Caenorhabditis elegans: one gene and its partners. The protein of the gene in region 2 interacts with the protein of the main gene of each other region in a pairwise test. Each region holds a gene or a part of one and is shown on either strand. Other genes may lie near its edges. The genes, in order: ceh-60, unc-62 and ceh-40.

Region 1 (7,929 bases), on a different chromosome or scaffold from region 2:
AAAAGGTAAGTAATAAACTGTCAATATATGCAATGAAAAGTGATAGTTCAATTTTTTTCTTGTGGTTTTCATCCGATGTGACATAGACGAGTTGGAGAAATTAGGCATTTTAGCGAAATGTGACTCTTTTCGTGAAATTTCAAACGGCAATAACAAGTTTTGAAAGATTTGGATTTTTTGAGAATGTTCAAACATTACTAAATTTTTCTCTTCTAGACCTCTAGTAAATTAAAGGAGGATTAACGGATCGGACGATTTTAAACGTATTGGCCAAAAATGGGCTCAAATGAACAAATTCCGTAGAGAAACTGATCAAAAAATTTTAAAATTTTTTATGGCGGTTCAAAATGTCAAAAAAAAACACTGTTTTTAGCTAAAATCTCGAATTTTGCCCAGTTTTCTGTGTCGTATCTGTCCGTAGTTGATTTTTTAAAAACTATCATTTTTTGTTGCATATTTTGGTAGTTTATTTTATAATTGCGGCAAGTCGTCAAGCTCCAAATTGATAACTCCACTTTTGATAATTTCAATATGTTCTCTTTTTAGAGGTCTATTTTGCTGAATAGTCTAGTTTTAAGCCAATAATCATACACTAGTTTAAATAGTAAAGTCTTCATGTGTAGTCTGAATCAGTTCAGTATATTTTTTTCGAGGATATTCTATCTTTCGAGGTTTAAGACTTTAACGTCACCGACATAATTCAATTTAGTCTGATTCAGACATTGTTTTTTATAAAACAAAATTGAGCATCACACACCTTTCTAATCGTACAACTGATCTTACCTGTGAAATTTTGATATTACACTGTTTTGCTAATTCCGCCTTTTCCTGGTCGGACGGGTAAGGATTTTGACGATGATCGTGGAACCAGTTTTGCAAAATGTCCGTCGTGTTTTTGTCAAAGTTCCGGCGCTTGCGTCTGAAACAAAATCGGTTTCAGCAACAATTTGTATGATCCATGCGTTAAAGTTAGTTTCAAACGAAATCCGACAAAATGTGATCTGCGTTGTTTTGAATATGAATCCAAATCATGTGAAGAATTAAGTTTGTCTCAGTTTTCAAATTGTTTATTATTGTTACGAATTTCAGATGTTTAGTTCCTAAGCCGATGAACTTTTTCATTTCAGTGTTCATCTGTCTGGAATATCAACGAAGTTTATTAAAAAGCAACATGATTTGAGAACGTATTCCACATCATTTTTTTTTTGAATTTATGATTTTGTATGTTGAGTGTCTTGCAAAACCTAGACCTCACAAGGGACGGAACAAGTAGTCTCACGGAAGTTATTCTAATTTCGGATTAATGTCAACTAGCGTAATGTCTACTTGCAAATTAAAATGTTAGGTAATGAGATATGATAGTAATATATGTAATAATGGTGGAATATCCAAAAACTCACCCCTGCTGCTCGATCTCCCTCCGGAGAACTAGAATTTTAGTTGCTGCCTCCCCGCGAATGTTATTTTTCGAATGCTCGAACCTTTTGGAAATGCTTTGCCGAATGTTAGAGAAATCCTGAAACATTTTCAATAATCTTCGTGAATTTGGACCTAATGAAAACACATTGACTTTGTTAGCATTTAAAAAAGTTCATATTTTGTGTATTATATGTGACATTTGTACGGGTTTCTACATATTTATCATGGTTTGTGTTTGTTTTTTACGGGAAATTGTGAATATTGAATTTTGCACGTAAAATTATAATCCTAACTTAAAAAAAAACAAATTTATAATGAAAAAAATTTGATCTGATCTTGCGTTAAATCTCAACAAGTGATGATCTCGATCGTTTCAAAAATTGAAGAAAAACCAAAATGGATTAGTTTTCTTTTTTTTGGATTACAGTAGGATTCAGAAAAACTGACTTTTGTTCAGAAAAAGTCATTCAAAAGTGTAAAATTCACAAACAACAAATTAATAAGCTGGTTGTTTTCTATTCTTCTATTCGTTCGCCTGACTTTTCAACTTCAGTTTTGTGTTTTGTTATTTTTTTTTTGCTCTCTAATCTCAAATAATAATCTCGATATCTCTTCTACAAATTAATATAATTATTTTACCTTTTCGTCGATCGGTCTAAAATCGCGATGATTTCTGAGTACTTCTTCGCTATTAGTCAGGGCTTTTTCCATATCCTGAAATATTCTGAATTAAATTTGAAAAGTATTTACAAATCAAAAATCGGATTTAAAGCTTCTCACAAGCTTGAGTAAATGTCAAATTTTGTTACGCCTACCGCATCAGTTTGTTTTTTTGAAAATATGAAATATCACCTTGTCCAGTTGAATTTGTTTCATGATAGTGTCTTCTTTTATACGGTTAATTCCGTCCAAATATTTCCTTTCTAAGGGTTGCCATTCCTCGTCTTTCTCAGTGTTGACCTCTTCCAACGGAAATGTAGGATTTTCGAATTGAGCCTACAATTTTTGTTGCTTGTCTAATTTTTCAGTTCTAATGATTTGTTTTAAAAGAGTACAGCCAATGGGGTAATAATTTTAAACCAGTTTGTGGCGCTGAAATGACCGAATATCATACTAAATCTTCTCAAAAAAATTCTGATAATTTTTTATGTCGGGTCAAAAAGTGAGATTGCACCACTTATCGAGAAATTTGAAATAGTGTCGTTTTTTCAAACCCAAACAGTGTTGGAATATAAAAATTGCAAACACAATAGTTCATAGACCGTAGAACTGAAAGAAACTGGTGTTTAAATGAATGACAACTTCCAAAAAATTTGTGAAAACAGCGATTTCACGATTTTTTGACTTGAATTAAAAATTTGCCAAAATCGTTTGAATCTTTTACTATACTATATGGTTATTTTAGCTCCGTAGTATTAGTGTAAATCCTTTCAACATAGAATAAGCTTCATCTTTCAATTGAAAAATGTCACAAACTATTTCATGTAACTTTAAAAACTTATTCACTCACGAGAATTTCCTCAATTTCGGAGGATTGTTCATCTGTATCATACAACGCAACCAAGTTCATCCGAGAGCCTGAAATGTAAATGTGTTAATTTCTGATCCATTTCATACTTCCGTTTTTTTATTATTTTTGAAACTTCAATTTGTTTAAACTAGAGAGTCTTTTCGCTATATCATAGTCATAAACTTTTGATTCTGTAAAAGACCACCGGATGTGACCTTCACCTTTTCTAAATCTGCATAACTTTTTGATTTTTCATTCTTTGCTTACGTAAAATGTCTTTTCTTTCAAGTAGCACTTCGTGAAGCATCCGGCGACAGGGATTCATTTCGATGCATTTTCTGCAATTTTTTAATATAAGTTTTTACTATTTCAGCGGTAACAAAAAATAATGATCATCACTTCACTAATAGTTCTCTAGGGGTGTAAACTTAATCAGCATCTACTGTTATGATTCATATGTCACATCATTTGTAAGATGACTCGAACTGAAAACTGTCTCACCTATTCCCTGATGTTTTTCTAAAATTTTCTAGGAAGATGACCTGTTTAGATTCACCTCCCGACCCAGTTTATAAGAAATATAAAAATCGGTATCTGAATCAGGTTCTCTCATTTCTATAAATTTTCTTCAATCACAAACTACACTTCTTACGATGCCTAGACGAATCTCTGATCTGGATGTTTTGCAGATCATATGTATTAGTCATTTATATCACTTATGAAAACATTCAAACTATAGAATATCAAACAATCAAGATTTGCCTAAACCCAACTAAATTTTTCTTCTTTTTTGCTTTTTTTCTTAGAAGTTTATTCCTATCTAATACCGTTTAGATGTACATTTTTGAAAAATAGGTCATGCCAACATCTATTAAACAGTGTTCTTTTCATAGAGGTCAATTTATTTTTAAATCCTGTTTTGCTGCTCAAAAGTTTTTTTTTTAACTCACTCAATAAAATTCCTGTCGACGTTTTCACTTGAGACGCTCATTTGGAGCTGCTTAATAAGATTATCCATCTCTCAAAGATCGGTGTGATGCACTCGGTTGTGAACGCAACAACACAGAGCTGTGATGTGTCTAAATACAATTTTGAAAAATCACGAAAAAAAAAAACTAAAATAGGTGGTACGAATTCTGTCTAGGTTTTTTCTTTTCTATTCATCGGTGTAATTTGATAAAAACTGAGTTTAATTTCATCATTTTTTATAGATCATTACTAAGATATGAATTTGAAAAAAAAATCCTGTCAAGTTTACTTGTTAATATGCATAGAAATGTTTTATTTATTATTTTATGTTTTACTAAATGTTACAAAAAAATTTTATACATAAAATTAAAAAATCCAAAAATGTGTTCAATAAATGAAAATAACTGTACAGTAAGACTACCACTAGTAGCTCGTAGATTTGGGTTATTGATATTGTTAGAGCAAACATTATTATTGGATTACTGTCATTTGGGCCGCCTTTTCTGTCGCTCAAATTCATAAGGATAAATGTTGACTTATTACGTGACACCTCTTCCTTTTCCCTTTCTACACAAAAAGAAACCGAACCCAAATTTGTGTCATAGCAAACACTTCACTAATCTCATTAGATGATTTTAATTGTCATATATTACGAAATCAGGAAAAATTGGAAAATTTCAAAGAGAAAACGATATGGAAAGCGACGGAAAAAATAATTGAACAACCACGTTCAACTGATAAAAGAACGGTTCTAGTGGTTTTTTCTTCCATGCTCAAGTGCACCATGTACACTGATAACACCATTCCCCAAATGTTGCGATTTCTTTTCAATTACATGCCAATCACCGAAACTCAATTTAAGTATTGCATTTGGATAGTTTTTTTGTTGCATATCTACCTGATGTTTCAAAACTTGTGTATAAAAACTAGATAATACAATGAAAGTACAACAGCACACAAGGTACCCATGGGAATCCGAAATCGTAGTAGAACTTTGATTGTGTAGTAAAATGCCAAACCATTACACTTGTTCTTTCTCTTGGCTTATTACTCAACGGTAAATATCATCAAGGATTATGTTTTCACAACTGAAAAACATGCGAGCACATTTTTTATATTTTGTAATATATCATACACTTGCTCATGTTTTTATGACTATCAGTTAAATGGATCAGCTAGCTGAAGTGAGGATAATACCATTAGTTTTGCAAGGCCACTATTTGATCGTCTTGAACTTTACAGTAGTTAGTTATGACTCCATCAGATGCTTCACATAAAACAAACAATTATTTCTTCAATTTTACATTTGTGTTCAAAATATTCTTATTTTAACACTGTAAGTAGTTAAACAATAATTAACCCTTTTTTATCTCAAAAAAATTCAAAAGTATTTTGAGAAGTTTTATCAAGACATTTAGTCTTTTCAGCACTATAAAAATGGTTATTAATCTTTTTTTGCATGTTGTCAACTTTTAAAAGTCATACAACTTAAAACGGAACAACACTCGTTGTTATAAATTACTATGTCGCTAAAACAGAAATTTCCACTAATTACAGATGTTGTTGAGCTAGTATTCAGTTCAAATTGTTTTTATGAATTACTAATTATTGTTGTTATAATTCAGTTTAAAATAAAGGGAAAAATAAAAACGTTTGAACAATCAAAAAATAAATCAAGTGATTGCTCGAGAGAAATACACGCGAGAACTCGTTTTTTTTAGAATTTCAGAAGCTGAGAATTTTTGTTTGCAAAATTATTCTATCGTTTCGCGTATACAAGTCGTCTTATTACTATTTTTGTTTTTGGTTTTTTCGTACAGATTTGTACGTCTGTAAAAAATCAATTTTACACAAAAGCCCCCCCTAACGCGGCTCAAATTCTAAATCTAGGTAAAAAAATGTACACATAATTAAAAAAAATCCATATCGAATTCCATAAGACGTTCTTATCAAGAGTAGGGAACTTTTTTATAACTTACAACAATTTCAAGTAAACAAATTTTTAATTTCTTTTCGTAATTTTTGTTGGTCACATGCTACAGGACCACGCTCAGTGGTGCCCTGAAATGATGCAATTTTTTCACGTGCCAATAAAAATCTTGCTCAGAGTCAGAGCAAGAAAAACCAGCGGCAAAGAGATGATATCAATTGAGAACAAAATAGAGAAAAGTAAGAAAAATTAAGTGTTTTTTTTTTCAGTTAATATGTGTTCTGAAGTTTTTCCTTGTTTCACAGTCACTTGTTAGCTGTCTGGATATTCTCACGAGGTGTCGTTTGTTTTGTCTGACCACCTGTTTGGATACGATAGATAATCAAAAAGCATCACTTTATAACTTTTAAAAATCTTTGGTTTTTTTACTTTATTCAGACAAGTTTTGAACTTATCAAGTTAATTAAGTTAATTTTCGGTACTTTTCCGATTTCTGCCCCCCCAAAATGTTTCGATATTTTCATTAATGAAACGTGAACTTTTTTGTAATTTCAGGCTTAGTATTGTTTTTTCTAAGCCTAAAAATTTGAAATAGTATTAAAATAAACATTCACGTGTGAATTTAAATTGAAATATTGAGTAAAACATATTTTGGGGGGCAAAAATCGGAAAAGTACCTAATTTTCTTCCAAATTTTGAAGTGAAAACATTTTTTTTAACATATGTTGAATACTCAATCTAAAAAATAGGTTATTAACAACAGATAAAAAAGTTAACTTCCTTAAACTTTTCATCCTCGGGAGACTAAATATTTTATCACGAATGATCAGTTTTCTTCTTTCTGCTCTGTTTTGAAAAGTTTGCTGGTAATCTGAAAATGATATTTTTCCCAACTTCTGTCTTGAGCTCAACTTGAGAACGAAAAAGACCAACTTTGTTTTTAAGCCTGAAATAGAAATGTGGAAACACCGAGATAAAGTTGCTACCTACACCCGTTATGATCCTCACAGAAATCTTGTGATCTTTAATTTTCCGGTTGCGTAGGTTTTAAAATCAAGTTTTCAAAACATCTCAGGTCTGCGAACAACAGTTCCTATCACTTCATAATGTACTTTGTTGACAATTCGAGATTATCATTTAATATCATTCGAGCTGTTCGTTCCGCAACCTTTTCGTGCAAATCCATCTCACGATTATTTTAATCCGAAAGTATCGTAAACATCATGCATCATCGAGCAGACAAATTGAAAGCCTTGTTTATTCTCACCAGAGGCAAAAAGAATATAAAACTAGATCATAAAACGGGTCAACTTATTTTAAGATACAACCTATGACATAGATGGTGGTCTACTTAGACCTTTACAAATTTAGAAAACGATATGCTTGTTCTCATAAATTGTTCACTCTGACATCATTTTAAACCCACTGACCTCTTCGCCTACTCAATTATTTTTCAAAACGTTCGCATTTTTTCGCAACCTATGTTTTGAAAAGCTTATAAACAAGTTTGATATCCTTTCTACTTTGATTTTAAATAAGCTTTATTGATTCATATATATTCTTATTTTGATAAAATTGAAAATTAAGAGCATCCACAGCAGCTTTTAACTCCGTTCCAGTAAGCCAAGGTGTTGGCGTTGTGGCATCCACGTGGTCCTCCGTTGTGGTTACGGGACATGATCTGAAATTGAATGGATTGCCATTTGCTTGATTGAAATCTAAGGTCTTTTGTCCTAACTTGAACAAAACAACATACTTCTGAAAATGCTACGTAGTTTTCTGATTGTTAGTCCCACTATTATCAATTGTCAAATACACATGTCCACTCAATGAAATGATGTTAAAAAACTGCTCAAGTGTGACCAAAATGATTAAAAGATAAAGAATCGAGAAAAAATTGTAGTGTTTCTGTCGTCAGAATTTTCCAAAAATTGTCAGGAAGTATATGTACATTTTTTGGTGGAATACTACTTGGATGCTCTAGACATTTCTACGTCAGACCTGTTCAGGTCTGCAATAATTTCTCTATTCCAGAGGGTCGTTTCACCTACCTAGTGACTATGGCATATTAATGTTTTCCCCTGCTACCCAAAATAGAAAT
Region 2 (7,527 bases):
GCAGACGATTATTTTTTTGCATTACGTTTTTTTTGTTGAATTTCATTTCAATTTTCATGCTCACCTTTTCAAGCTCCAACAGATGGAATCGAAGCATCTGAATCGATTGGAGCATAATTTGATCTAGTTGTGGATTCGGTACATAGTACTGCTTGTCAGCATTCTCTTGGGTCTGTAAAACTTTCTTTTTTTTCATTTTATTATTTCCCCGAAACTTACATGTCTTACAAATTCGTTGAGATCATCTTTGAAAGACGCGCTGGAGCACACGTCCGATGACGTGGATCCGTCGCGTGACGTGTCTCGGGGCGTTGACGTGGCGAGCTCGCATTTTTCGAATAGGAGAACTAGAAGTGGATAGAGTGGATGGCTGAAAATTTGAAAATTGTTAAAAATCAATTTTTTTTAGCGATTTGAAAGTATTTTGAAAATGTAATAATTTTAACGAAATTTAGAAGCAGAAAATTTTGAAATTTTTTAATTTTTTTTACGTCAAAATTTTTTAGCTTCAGCTTCTCAGGCACGTCTCCAAACATGAGGACCTATGTTTTGCCTGCCTACCGCCTACTTTTGAATTTTTTTCACAAATTTTTGATGACTTGTTGAATGTTTAATTTTGAAAAAAAAACAGGCACAAGGCAGGCCTTGTAGGCAGACTTTATAAAATTAAAATTCAAAAAAAACTCACGCATAAATAGACTCCTTATCCCGTTTCATGGCTTCACCCATCTCATGGTGCATCATCGGAGTTGACGTCGGCGCGCCACCCATATTCGTGTACAAATTGTAAAACGCCGCCGGATCGGCAATATAACTGGCTGGGTCGGCGCTCGCCGAGCCCGGTGGTGGACCATATCCATCGTTGAACTGCTGAAAAAATATGGATAAGATTAGATAATTTTATTAAAAGGCGCCTAAATATGTGAGGGATTTATGGGTAAAATCTTATCTCTTCTTCTGACATGGCTAGCAAAAATTTTGCAAAAAAAAAATCAATAATTTTAGTTTTCCTCCAAAATCTTTTTTTTTTCGAAATTTCGGTACAAAGGGGCGCCGTTCCAGATTTCGGCAAGATGATAGGCGGATTTTTTGACGAAATAAATCTTCTCGGCCCCCCGATTCGGGTAAAAGAAGATGTGAACGGGGATAACGGTGGAAGGATAAAGTGAGAAATTGAAACCACGCTTTCCTATTTTTTTTTCTTTTTTCTTTTTTCTGTGTCTTGTCTCTCAAATTGATTAATTGATAAATTGTATTGATAACTAAAGAGGCCAATTTTTTGACACTTTTTGGAACCATTGGTGGTGGTGGTCATAGGCATTTTTTCTAAGCAGTAGCCCAAGCTCATCAAAATCATTTTAATGGGTTTTATTAGTCAGCGGGGAAGACGGGGAAAAGGGGTGGAATTTGGGACATTTTCTTATCTTTTTTCAAATGATTCCCGAGAAAAAGTGATACTGTCGGTAAGATCGTAAAACTATTTGTGATTCTTGTGTTGGCTTCGGAAACTAAAACTAAAACTAATCGATGCAAGGAAAAATTTAAGAATGAGGGGCTTAATATAAGTACTTATATTTTGAAATATTCACTGGTGTTATTTTAACGATTTGCAAAAGTCGATAGTATTCCACCTCACTACCTCACTTTGAAAAGTTATATCACGGTTCAATTAGAAGATATAAATAAATAGTCAACTACAAAATTATAGAAAAAGAAATAATACGGATTTTGCCAGTTGACAATTTTTATATAGGATGAACGAAAACTGAGATATAAGCTGTCAAAGTTGGACGATGGGGTGCAACTGTTAGTCTTGCAGACCGTAGCTTCAATTTGGCAGCTCATTGTAATTTTCAGTTAAAACAAAAAGTTCTAAGCTGACAAAATATTTGTTTTTTCTAGAACTATAGTTTTAAAGTATTATATTCACTGATTTTCTAGAGATGAGCAGAGATACGACTTTTCGAGGTATTTGGGGTCAAGTTTTTCTATATTCTGAAGCTTGGGAAACTATATTGTAACTAACCAGCGCTTAAAACAAGGCGAACACCTAAAAATTGCAATTTTGAGATCTAGAAAGCGGGAAAAAAGCGACAGCGACGGCGCGGTGGGGGGCGCAATGGCTGATTGGAAACCCAAGAATGAGCTCGAGCCACCACCCAACACAACGATAAATTATAGAGGAGAAAAGGAAAAAGGGATGGCGCTCTTTCTGGTATCATGTCAAAGTCAGAAGAAGCAGAGGGGAAACGGAATGAAGGAGAAGAAGAAGAAGAAGTACCCTCTGCGCCATCGTCGTTGCCGACACACGGGGCCTTGCTGAATAAGATGAACGATGGTCGTGTCGGGATCGAAAACTCTTTCCACAACGGGGTGTCAGTCAGTCAGTCTGTCACACACACGATGATGGTCAGAGCTTGTCGCCCGCCCCTTCTTCTTCTTCTCTCGTTGATCGATTGATTAGTGTGCCGATTTGATGGGCCGGCGGTGGCGGCGTGTGTTCTTCTCTGCCCTGCGTGTGATGTCGATGATGATGGAACGAACGTAAATAATATGACAGACAGATGAATATCGAAAATGACAACTTCTCACACACTTCAAAACGGTTGTATGTCAATCTTGTCCGATCGTTGGGGGGAGGGTTGGTGGGGTGAATGTGGGCGGGGCTCCCTCTCTCTGACTCTCCCTGGTGGGGGAAAAATACGAGAAACCACCGAAAGAGAGAGAAACGGGCAACCGGGGGGCAGATCGACTCGCTTGCCTTCTCCTCTCTCTCTCAGTCTATTTTCCCCTGTTAGCCCCCCTCGAGAGAAGGAGTGAGTGAGAGAGAGAGCGATGCGCCGGGGCCCCGCCCTATTGCGCCAATAGGCACTCAATTCGGTACAGTAGACCCCGGGTGTGAGAGGAGGGTGAGAAGGCAAATTTGGAGAGGAGTAGAAGAAGTCAAACACGAAGAAAACGACGACGACGACGACGACGAAAAAATACATGCATTGCATTTTCCTCTTTTTTTTGTTTTAGCGAGACGAGGCAAAAAGTCAAGTGTGGGGGACCTCAGGTTTTCCAGCTAACACAAATTTACATTTTCTACCAAGTAGTACCCGATTCTTGGCAGCCAAATTCCATGTCGCCTATCAATTTTCCAATTTTCCACCCTCGATAAGAAACACATGATTAATGTGATTAAAAGAGATAAATCGGTCGGTGGGGGGGGGGGGGGGGGGGGGGGGAGCGATGATGAGACGAAGAAGAATGAGGAGAGAAAAGATAAAAGCGGCGGACAATTTGTGTGAAAATTATCAGGATTTTGTTATTGCTTTTATGCTGTTGATATTGATAATCGGATCATCGGCTGTTAAATTGCATATTATATCGTGGATGTGTGGAACTAGCTCTATGAACTTTAACTGGTAGGTTGTAAACCCAAAAAATATGTTCTTAGATTTTTATGGTAGTTGTTGAAGGTGGAGTAGCGCCAATGGGGAAATTGTTAAAAACCACTCCTATGGTCCCAAAATGACCGAATATCGTAATAAAACATCATCAAACAAACACATCAAACAAAAACATCAAAACAATCAAAAATTTTCTTAAATTTTTTTATTTGCGGTCAAAAAGTGACAATTACTCAGTTTTTGTTACTCATAATTTTGGAAGTCGACCAAAAAAAGTTTTTTCCTACATTTTTTACACTTTAAGCTTATTTTAATTATTCGTGTTGAAACATTGTAGGGGGCGAAACATGCGACATTGCTTTGGATTTCCTCGAAAGCTCATATTTTTCAAAAATTTGGCAATTTGGCAAAAGTTTGAACGGAAATTATGAAAAAGCTAAAATTTTGTGGGGTGTTTTATTATAATATTCGGTCGTTTTGGATCATTATAAGTGTATTTAGACAAAATTCCCACTGGCGCTATTCCACCTTTAATATACTTTTTTCATAATAAATTCTGAATTTTTAGTGGATTTCCGAATTTGAAATTTGTTTTCCTATGTCAAATGAAAAAAAATCTGTTGAATTTAGCTCCTGTGGCGAGACCAACTCAGAAAAAAAAACAATGTGTGCCTTTAATGTGATGTTTCAAATTTTTGCGAAATATTACAATATTTTTTCCCGGTTTCTTGAAATTTATATTTCAATGAAAAACCAATTTCGAAACTCTAAAATTTTTACAATTTTGATTTTATAGATTTTATCAATTTTCTGAAAGCATTTTATCGTAACAGAACTGAAAAATTACAGTTCATTTTGAACATTTTTTTCATTTTTTTTTCCGAAATTCCAAAAGTTTTGAAGTTTCAGACAATACAAAACCCTTCAAAGCTCGATTTATAAAATTATTTTTAATTCTAAAAATTGATTTTTGAATTTCTTAAACTACAATGTGAAGATCCTAAAGAATTTTTTAATCGGCAAAAATTTTTTCAATTTTCAGAAATCAATTTAATTAGGAAATTTAGTCGCAAATTAAAACAACAACCAATTCTTAAATTTTACCTCATTGTGATCCCGCTTCTCTCGTTTGATGCTCGACGTGTCCAAATCGTACGTCGAAATTCCATTTTGAACAGCCCAAGTGTCAGCGGACGCGTGAGCCCACACTTTTGAGTCGCCGCTCATGTTCCTGCAAGAGAGAAATATTAAATTTTGAAAAAGAAAACGTGAAACTCATTATCATTTATCAAAAGAGTCTGTGCGTGAGCAACAGCAGATGGGTCCTCGTGGCCCGAAAGCACAAAAAGCACACCAAAAAAAAAGGGATGGATTCGAAAAAAAAAATAATAAATAGGCTCCGCAAGAGATGAACCAGGAGGGCAAATTCAAGTTTACATGCTGCTGTCCTGTGTCCAATGTCCTCCGCATTGAAGATAAATTGCTTTTGTTCGTTTTTGCCCCCACTAGGTGCACAAAGCTGTTCTCATTATATTTTTGAAATTCGAACAAAAAAAATGTAAGTGCTAAGGAAAAATAAAGTGGAAAGAATGAAGATTGGAACTAGTTTCTTTTTATTTGATAAGGTTTATGTAATGTACGGTATGAGACTGAAAAAAAAGTTTCATTATACCGCCAGTTTCACCGGAAGTTTTTTGTCATGTGAATGAGCATGAGCTGAGGAAATGTGACTAGTTTGGAAATTAAAAAAAAATCTAAAAGTGAGTTCGGTTTCTGAAAGAAATTTGCTCCACCGAAAATGTGAGAAACTATTTTGACGGCCTATATCTCTGTTGCTTTTGATTGGATCAAAAAATGTTTAACTGGTAAAATATAGAAAAACATTTTGCGCATATTTTGTCAGTTAAAATTTTTCTGATAAAATCAAAGAGAGCTGAGATAGAAGCTGTTAAAGTGGAGCAAGACGGGTGCAAGCCTACTAAGGAAATTGCGGACAATGTCCTAATTTTTCAAATTCATTATCAGGAATCAAAAAAGCTCTACCAAACCTAGTCAGCTATTTCCAAGTTTCCACAAAAAATTAATTAATTAAACAAGATCCTTCTGAAACTACACTTTCCAGATTGTCAACTAAATGTGCACCTATGAATGTAATAAAATATCGCAACCTTTCGCCTCTTCCAGAGAGCACAGTCATTTTTTGACACATTTTCCTTATCAATAATCAGAGAGTAGAGACATAGAGATGCTAACATTAAAATACAAAAGTTTCAACATTTTTTCCCTTCAATGCACCACATCCCCCGTTTCCCTCATCTACTTATACTCCAGCTGCACTTTATTAACGTCGCCTTTTGTTCTAAGGGGATTAAGATTAGGATCATATGGAAGAGGAGGGGTAGGAGGTGTCAAGTGGGATAAAGTTTCAGACTGTTTTTCTTTGTTTGGTAACATGGTAGACACGGGAAGAAGATTAACCTATAGATTTCAGATTTCCTGGAAGGTAGCGTGTGGTGCTTTTGTTGCTTGAATTGACAGAATTGAGTTGTTTCAAAAATTCTAGAGTAATAGGCTCAGCTCAAAAGATTAATCAAAGGCCTAAATTAAAGGCCAAAATTATGAGGCTAACAAATTTTTAAACCAATTTTTTACAAGCTTTCCATTTTCAATATAGCTACTGTTTCTATGCAAAAGAGCTACTGCTCTATCCGCCTTGCCTCTTTTTGCTCCACTTTGACGGCTTATAACTCGATCCCATTAGGGCTTGTAAAAAAAATTTTCAACTGACAAAATTTGTGCAAATATTTTTCTACATTTTTACAGTAAAACATTTTTTAATAAGACTAAGGACAACTTAGATATAAGTCTCTAAAATAGAGTGAATAAAAAAAAGCTAATTTAGAGGCTAACAAAATTTGATTCATTTGTACATAGTTTTGCCATTTTGTTTCCCAATCTGATCTACTTTTTCTTCTCCATAGTCATACTCAAAAACCTAGGCAGATCTTTGCTCAACGAGGCTGACGTATAAACTGATAAGCTTACGGTGTGCTCTTTGCTACGTGCGCCGAACATTATTCGAAAAAAAAAGTTATCAGTGGTTTTTTCTTCCACGCATCGTATCGCAATCGATGCTCTTGCTCCCCTGCTCTTCGCTTCTATTTCGATTCTCTCGCCTGGCTCCCCAAATACCGTACCAGGGGATGTGTATGCCTACTACAGTAACCCGTGTGTCCACCACCATCACAACCACCGACCAGCCGGCCCGGTGTTGGTGGGGGGGGGGGGGGGGACACGAAACAAAATTTGAAAAACGGGCGGCCCGCGCGCACGCTCTTTTTCCCTCTCCTTTTAAATCGATACGTTTCGTCGTCGGTGGTGGTGGTGGTGGTGGTAGTGAGGGACGGAGGCAAAAAAAGGAAGGAGAATTGCGTGGACTTGCACCGGACAAGTCATACAAATGATTGATGGGGTCTATAGAAACCCGTCGAAAAAATTGGAGGAGGAGTGGGCACCGGGGCAAAAATGCTAACGAAACACAACAAAAAAAAAGATTTCGATTGAATCGTTGTTGGTGTGCCCCCCAGCCAGGTGCACCGCCCCCTATTTTACCTCATTATGTCAAGTTGTAAACGAGACGCCGCTTAATTGGTTTATGAGATGTATCTGTCAATTTTAAGAGGAGGCCGGCCCATTTTATGTGTGTATGATTTTTAGGTCAAGCCGGCTGGAGCAAAAAGTGACTAGACTGGCCTCTAAGCCTTAGGGGGGATCGGGGAACCGACAGAGAGCAGTGATTCGGAATGAAGCCGACCAATACAAAAACTATTTAAGAAACAATTATGTTAAGCTTAAAGATTTTAAGGCAAATTACGGCGAGTAATGGTGATCGCTAGCAATCAAAAGATCACGGGTTCGAGTCCTGCCCTAGGCTCACTGGGAAGTGGAGCTATCTAGATTATCGGCCACAGTCCTGGGATCCGACGGCTTAAACTAAAGCCCAGTAGGGGTACCTGACTCCCCGATCCGCAGCGCATAGCGCTTAAAAATTGAAACAGAGCTGGACAATATCCAGAGGCTAGATGCAACCGACTAGTCAACTTTGAAAGGTTATACCTCGGCTCATATTGAA
Region 3 (7,901 bases), on a different chromosome or scaffold from region 2:
CAGCAGAGTTATTCGGAAAAGTGTAGGTTATTGAAAAGTTTGTTCTGTGAAAAATGGATAAGTTTTTAGCCGCGATTCTTGAGAGCTCAGCAGAAAGTGGAGGATGATGAGTGTAGCAGCGATGAATCATTGGATGATTCCGAAACAAGCGAAGAGGAAGATGTAGATAGTGGTAAGTTTGAATAAATAAGAAACAAGAGAGTAGATCAAATATTTTTTTTTTAATCGAGTTTATTAAGACTTTCCACCTCCCAGAAAGTTCGAAATATTTAGAGTTTTACTACAGTCATAAGATTAGGGGTTTTGGTGCACTGAGCAAAAGAATAGCGTTTTAAGGTTCAGAAGCCAATCAGATTTTTTCAATAATTGCAGATGGTGAATGCGATGAGGAGGTTCAAGCGGTTTTGGATAGTCTGGAGAAGAAGAAAATAACTGATGGAAATCCAATTGAAGTTGAGCAGCATAAAAAAATGGACAAACCTCAAACGGAAACAGTAGAAAATGATAATGGAAATGTGATAGACGTGACGGGTATGCCTTACACCGTACTACATGTTAAAGGAAGTGACACTGACCGTTTTGTGATGTATAAAGGAAGCCTGCAAAAAATCATTGCAGTCCAGACTGTTCGTCACGTTGATTACCAATACCAAATCTACATCATAAACAAGAACAAGCCAATAGATATTTTATTTGGAGAAGTGATTTTGTCGAGTACCTTAGGTCTTGGAGAAGATGAAGCAACAATGTCTCGTGATGCACAGTTTGTCAATTACGCCAGAAATATCGCTAGGAGAAATCATTTCTATGAAGATGGAGGGACTCTAACTGAATTTGATAATCGATTTTTGTTGGTTAAAAAATCAAGAGTATTAAACAATGATGACCGAACTTTCGTCAGAAATGTTCCACGGGACTACAAAACCGAACCTCCCATAATAGAAGAAGTTCTTGAGCTCACCCGAAACTGCCCAGAGAAGCATCCAAAAGCCCATTTGTACCCACCAGCGTTCAGTTACGCGATGATCGAATATTCCGAAGATCGTTTTTGGACCGAGCGAACAGTTGATGTTCCTCCCGGAGTTCTTGTGCCCAATGGACCACGTAGGCAGTAATCAAAATATCAAAGTATTCAGCAAAATGTGGAAATGTTTAAATAGGATCATATCAGACCAAATCAATTCCCTATACTTCGGATCATTTTCAATACCTCTCCACTTCATGGTTGTCATAGATTTTCATTTCACCATTTTGTTTCTAACCGCTAGATAATATAATTTTACATTAGTTTCCAATTTCAGCATGTTATTTTCGCAGTTCCACCAAAATTTCATACTACTACTTGTTATGGATATAACTGGCCTGAGTTCTTAAAAACTTAATTAATTTCAACTTTTTTTTCAATATCACCACTTTCTCAACATTTTTAAAAACGCTTCAGGAAAATCTCCTGTTCTGTGAATAGTTATGTTGTTCTTGTTACCTCATTTATATTGTAAGCCCTTGTCTAAAAATTGTGATGTTGCATTTTGCAGCCAAAAACATTGGTCAGTATCAAATAAATTTCTTAAAAAAGTAATACATCTTATGGAACACAGGATGTATTTCAATGAATTTATTACTTTATAACATCATGGCAAATGTATGAATGAGTACTCAGTACCAGCATTATTAAAGTTTGTCATCGAGTTTGATTTGGGTTTTGTAGAGACTGTTGATATTGGGCCATCTGAAAATGAGAAAACTGTTTTTTTCGGAATATGCATGATTTCAAAATCTGGCAGTAAGAAAAAACCTAGTTTCTCAACTTTTCCAGCTGCTCGCAACTTGGAGTACATCGTTTCCAGAATTTGATGTATCCAAGAACGAGTTTTTTTTCAAGTTTAACAAAAATCCGGGTTTTGAAACAAACTACATATATTGCTCTATTTTTGCAAGTTCACAGTATTTGAAATGAAAACTTACCATCTCAGGATTGTACATGGAAAAATTGAAAGGGGCAACACCGATGGGAAATTGATGACCAGGTAACATCATCTGATATGGGTTCATCATTCCTGCAAACGCGTTGGGTACCAGACTATACGGAGCTCCAGGAGCTCCAGGCGGAGGGCGATCTTCTGGTTTTCTGTTTTCTCTTCTTTCATCCTCATTCTTAGCCATTGTTTTCTTGTAGCGAATTCGCTTATTTCCAAACCAGTTTGATACCTGAAAATAAACTGTAAACTACTGTAAGATTGTATGCAGATATCTGGGACTAAATTTTTTCAAATAGAGTGATAGAGTGTTAAGAAACACTGACAATATTGACAGTGACAAAAATAGTTTTTAAAAAAGTTGCATAATTTTTAGGTTCGTGTCTATAGAACAGCGATTATTTTATGTAACCACAATTATATTCCAAAGAATAATGAACTAGTTTTGCGTTTCTTTTAGAAAACCTTACTTCCCATTTTCTAGAAACTACTAAAGCATTCGTTAATTCTGAACACCGTTTCAACATTTCCTATTCAAAACTCCCGCGCAAATATTAATAGGAGACAGCTGACGCAAATGGTGATGATGGCGCATTTTAGCGAGCTTTTAATTTAGGCCTTATCAATATTATCTTCATGCAAATCGTAATATTCTTCAAAAGTTTTTTATGCATATTTTTTAGTATGTAATTTTGTATTTTCAATTTTACCTGAGCAACACTAATGTTACATTGCATAGCTAAGGCCTGTTTGACCTCTTCCGACGGGTATGGATGATTGATGTTTGCTAGGAAGTACTCGTTGAGAATCTCGGTGGAAGTTTTCGAGAAATTTCTTCTCTTTCGACGAGCATCCAGATAACGCTTTTTCAGTTGGATAACTTCTTCGCAGGCAGTCTGTTTTAGTACAAAACAGACCTTGTTAAATTTACCGGACATCTTGTTCATAAACTTTTCGGTTGACTGAAAAATTGGTTTAATCTTTTCACCGGTAGATTTATGGCTTACCTGTTGGGTGATTGGACGGAATTCTCCTTGTTGCTGGAGAACATCTTCAACGTACTCACACCACTTTTTGCAGTGCTGAAATTTGTATATTGGTTGGTGATATATGAGACGATCTTACCTTGTCAAACGCTTTTGTCTCATTTTCAAGCTCTCGTCTCACTTTCAAAAGTTGTTGACGATACTCGTATTGGTCAGTTCCAGCAGCTTCCTGAATACGCAACAAACTATCATCGGGTCCAGCAACTCCTTCTGCTTTGAGCATGGTATCCAGCCGTTCATCATTCTCTTGTGCTTCAAGATCCTTCATCATCTTTGTCGATAGGTCGATTTTGGACTTCTGCTCAACTAGAACATCTTGTACGGCTCGGTAGAATGGATTGATCTTGATTTGTGGTTTTCTGAAAAATTCATAAATACTTTTGACAATTTTTTATTTTTTATTTTCAGGAGGAAGTGAATATCCTCTTTTCTTTTTTGTATCTTGATAGTAATCTCTAGTGTTGGTTTTCATCTTATCGCAACTTCTCCATAAATGTATAGTTACCAAAACAATATTATGATAAATACTGAAGTTGAAAGAAAAACATAAGCACTCCAGCGGAGAGTTTGCTTAAGAAAGTTTTTCCAAAAAATAGTTTTCAAGAAGTTTGTGATGATAGTTGAACTAGAGCAATGTTTTAAGGAGCGGTACTGTTCAAATAAAGAAATTAGAGACAGGCTATTGCCTACAAAAGCTGATCAAAAAAATTAAACATTTGATGTTTTACGAAACTTTGCTTAAAAGCATATCTTGTCATTATTTTTTCTTGAGTCGTAAACTAATCAAAGTATTTTAAGTATGAATGAACATTTGTTATCAACATCTATAAACATTGACCAAAATTTTGAAACTTATTAATAATTTTGATTTGAATACTTATATCATCAACACGCCCATGAAACAATATTGAGAATTTTTATTATAGGAATATCAGAAAAAACAAGCGCAAACCATCACATAACGATTGTTGATTTTTTTTTTTGAAAACTTCGATTTATGGCAGCACATAAGCAAAAATCTAACTCACAATTTATTGACAGCTTCATTATCCATAGTCATGTCGGTAATTTTGACAACTTCTGACAGCAGATCCATAATCGATTTTGACGCCTCACTCATGTCTACAATAAACCAGAATTAATGATAAATGACAGGAAACGTATTGGAGATAAAATGTTGATGAGACGGACACATTAGCGAGAGGTGGGGTAAAAACGTAACGTTGTCAAGAATAAAGACAAATTGTGGTTGACAGACAGTATCGGTGCACGCAACGCAAGTGGTTGTAAATGATGTGCGCAGTTTGGGCGAGTCAATCGAATACTTTTTTGTGTGCAAGCGTTCGTTGCGTAATGAGCGCAACTGTGCGGTGAGATGGGAAGGTCAGCCGATATTCAGTCACGATATGAGTTGCAACAGATGCCGTTTCCCACATATTGGATTATTCGCCCATTGTTCTCCTCTTTCTTGCTCTTAATGTTGCCTAATCGTTTTTTTTTGTGTTCTCAATCTTACAAGTTAATGCATTTTTTATTGTTTTTTTCTCAGAAGCAAAGTTGCGTTATATAGTAACCAAATTTGAATTATGCTTTTTTTCAATTAAATCTGAAGATAGTGGACAGTCACTTTTTTGAAGAAGCCTGTAGAAACAACAGAACAAAATTAAATGGTGCAATTTTTTCTGATTTCACTGTTAAGCTGCAGTTTTTAGTTATTAGTTTTGCAGTCAACAAAGATTATCTGCCAAACTTGGAAGGGTGTCAATGTTCCCATTGCTACATGTTGTTTTCCTCTGACGATTTATGGGTTGAAGAGTCGGGAAAGGAGTGGGATGAGAGTCTAATGTCGCGTTAGCAATATCGATCGATATAAATAAGTGTAAAAATATCTAATTCCTCGTTTTCTTCATTTTGTATTTGAACGAATGGTCTTCTGTTTACACTCTCAATTATTCTCCGTCTCGAAAACAACTGTTTGGACTTTTTTTTTTCAATCTTACTCTTTTGTTCCACATTTTTTTAACGTTCTCAATTTTTCAACTGGTTATACAATACCTATAATTTTTTTTAAATTTCAGTACAACAATGTCGTGTTGCAATGACTTCTCCTACTCCAACGCTGGAATCTATAGGCAAGCGATGGAGGATATCATGTTTACCCCGAACAAAGATAAAAAGAAGTCAGCCTTTCATGATGAAACTTTAAATAGCCTCCGAAAAGTGAGCAGATTGGTGCAGAAGTTTGAAAGTGGCGGAACTGACGATGAGACTGTTGATGAGACCGAAAAAGAAGAGCAAGGAGAAGATGTGTGCGATGGTCCTGTGTTCAGGAAGGAGTCTTTTCTGAAACAGAGCCAAAATGAAGAAGAAGAAGAAAAGGCAGATGTTCAAGAAAATTTTGACGAGCAGGAGAATGCTAAAAATGAAAACGACGAGGTGTTCTATGAAAACGAGAACGAAGCAAAGGAACTAGTCGAGACCCCCATTCTCCGATCTTTGTCCCGCCAATTTTCTGGCCTAACGATTATCAAGTCTCACATCAAAAAAGACAATCTCGATGTGGAGAGTAGATCTCCAGCTCGTCGTGAGACGAGAATCATGTCAAGAAGAAAACAAGAATCGTCAGTGTCGTCATGCTCATCGGAGAGCTCTCATTGCTCCGCTTCATCGTCTCTCAGTAAGACGGAAAAACCAGAACCTGAGAATAGCAACTTCGTAAACGAACTGTACTACTGCAAATTGGCGAGATCTCAAGTTCACCACAAGTTTGAAGCATACTTCAAGTGGAAATCAGAGAGTAAGCATTTCTAAATTTTGAACATAAATTTTATTAGAGAAACTGATGTTTAATGGCAAGCGGAACTGTTTATCAACATGCAAGCAAAATTTATATTTCGTTTAGAGCAGTGTCTAATTATCACTAATATTGTTTAATTTTCAGCACTCCGATCAATTGCGGCATCGGTTTCACAGATGCGCTTGGACACATTGAATTCGATCATTGCACCACACGATGAACGCGTAAATGTTCTCAAGACAATCTATGAAAATTGCAAGAAGGGAGTAAACAAAGAAATGGATGCACTGTGCTGTGCTCTTTTTGATCTTCTTGATGATGTCGATGAGAAGTCATTATCGATTCACGAGGAATACGTTGCTGCCAAGTACCATAAAAAGTTGCAAAGTCAAAACTGTTAGTGGATATTTTGACATAGTCTTTTTTAATCTTTAGCTATTCCACCGCCTACTTCTTGTCAAATTTCTGAAGTTTTAATGTCTACCTGAATCTCGTTGTTTCACATTGTTTTTTTGTTTTCCTTTTGATCCTTCAATATTTTCTTTTTTTTTTCGTTTTAAAACATGTTTTGAATTGCCAATTCATGGTAAAGTTTTAATAAACAATCATAGTCAGTAATTAAATTTGGATAGTATTTGTCAATAGTTAGTCAAACTTGTCATAAATGTGTGGACAAAATAAAAACAATAATGAATATATTATTGGGCATAATACAGAAAAAGGGATGAGCTGAATTCTATTATATATAGTGATCTATGTTGACTTTTGATATTAATTGCCTAACATCTAAAATCTTTGATATTTGATAAATTTCCACTGAACACTGAACCTACTTAAGGCTATTCACAACAACAAATTGAAAAAGCATTCAGACACAATTTAGGCACGTTTCGCGCAACAATTTAACCACAAAATGTTCATAAATCTAAATTCTCGAAATTGGTTCTGCAAAATTGAAAAAAAAAAAATTAAGTGCCTGATAATTTATTTTGAATATTAATCGTTTGAAATGATAATGTTCCGCGCTTTCCAGCGGACGAAAACCGGGTTTCTACTTATTTTTTAATTTCCATCTTTTTGTTGCTCAGGTTGTCGTAGTTGGTTGAAATTCCTGATTAAATGTTCAAATATTATTCTAAGATTTCACGTCATTATTGGAAATGCCACTTTTCAGAATTGGACAAAAAAACATATTTCTTCAAAAACATCTGCTACGAAACGCCCTGTTTTCATTTTGTAACCCGCTAAAAGCAACGTTTCCATTTTCTGATCTTATTTACTGAAATTCAATCAAACTGAATATCAACTTAACCTCGTGAACAATTTATATGCAGCGTTTCAAATCATATATAATTTTCAGAATGGGAGCGGATATTTATCGGGATGTGCTTTATATCTTCTACCCTATTTTCTTCATTTTTTCAACAATAACACAGTTGATGTTAATTTATTTAATTTTTTACCACTCCCCAACACATCTAAAAATGTTAAAAGTATTCTTGTTAAACACAAGTCTTTTCCAAATTATCCTAGTCGTTGTTTCTTGTTCATCTCAGTTTCGAATGATTACAACTGCTATTCCTATTGAACTGAGAAGTTACGGACTGTTAAGATATTTGGAAGCGTGGCTGGGTTATACAATGTATCAAGTTTTACAAGTGAGTTTTCTGAGTGTGAGTTTGGAAAAACATATTATACATCTTAAGCATTAAAATTTTGAAATGTTTGGAAAATAAAATCTTTTGAATACATTTTGAGTAAGTTAACTGCTATTGAAATATATATATATGTTTTTGTATTTTTAAAACAAAAAAACATAACTTAAACTAGTGTATTAAAAAAATTGTCAATATTATCAGTTACCTAGATTACAATGTAAAAAATTCAAAATGAAAACCAAAAGTTCTCAATGTCATGATTTATTTGTTGGAGAAATACTAGGTATCTTCTGGAAGAAAATTCGAAGACGAATTGTGTGCAATTATGAACAATACCTCTTTTTTTTGTTTTACCGTATAATCTTAAGAGTTTGAATTTTTGACCAATAGATCTTGTTGAACTCAATAATTTAGTTTCATCCAA

The links.
Region 1: the proteins of unc-62 (region 2) and ceh-60 interact in a two-hybrid assay, tested with the Caenorhabditis elegans proteins (2 studies listed by BioGRID, with this or other methods).
Region 3: the proteins of unc-62 (region 2) and ceh-40 interact in binary tests that used the Caenorhabditis elegans proteins (3 or more experiments, as listed by UniProt).

The regions. Positions count from the first base shown.
Region 1 is NC_003284.9:6,526,139-6,534,067, forward strand, and holds the start of ceh-60 (Homeobox protein ceh-60), read right to left. Parts: upstream 4,009-7,929; 5' UTR 3,948-4,008; coding exon 3,880-3,947; intron 3,268-3,879; coding exon 3,197-3,267; intron 2,998-3,196; coding exon 2,930-2,997; intron 2,416-2,929; coding exon 2,272-2,415; intron 2,134-2,271; coding exon 2,059-2,133; intron 1,517-2,058; coding exon 1,401-1,516; intron 920-1,400; coding exon 784-919; intron 1-783. Other genes in the region: ilys-5 (lysozyme), read right to left, coding at 7,411-7,509. UniProt on the Caenorhabditis elegans protein: Probable transcription regulator which binds to DNA, repressing genes involved in longevity and stress, while activating genes involved in reproduction, such as the vitellogenins.
Region 2 is NC_003283.11:4,494,562-4,502,088, reverse strand, and holds the start of unc-62 (Homeobox protein unc-62), read right to left. Parts: upstream 4,627-7,527; 5' UTR 4,623-4,626; coding exon 4,500-4,622; intron 2,760-4,499; exon of another isoform or gene 2,294-2,759; coding exon of another isoform or gene 2,282-2,293; intron 871-2,281; coding exon 689-870; intron 371-688; coding exon 220-370; intron 173-219; coding exon 65-172; intron 1-64. UniProt on the Caenorhabditis elegans protein: Acts redundantly with ceh-20 and ceh-40 to perform overlapping roles during embryogenesis.
Region 3 is NC_003284.9:12,316,559-12,324,459, forward strand, and holds ceh-40 (Homeobox protein ceh-40), read right to left. Parts: upstream 4,220-7,901; 5' UTR 4,143-4,219; coding exon 4,051-4,142; intron 3,382-4,050; coding exon 3,102-3,381; intron 3,059-3,101; coding exon 2,984-3,058; intron 2,939-2,983; coding exon 2,687-2,938; intron 2,209-2,686; coding exon 1,966-2,208; intron 1,730-1,965; coding exon 1,682-1,729; 3' UTR 1,568-1,681; downstream 1-1,567. Other genes in the region: xtr-2 (MX region of TRA-2 Related), read left to right, coding at 1-22, 70-172, 373-1,115; F17A2.13 (uncharacterized protein), read left to right, coding at 5,108-5,819, 5,964-6,220; srd-40 (Serpentine receptor class delta-40), read left to right, coding at 7,181-7,477. UniProt on the Caenorhabditis elegans protein: Plays a role in regulating gene expression in dopaminergic neurons, acting redundantly with homeobox protein ceh-20 in head neurons.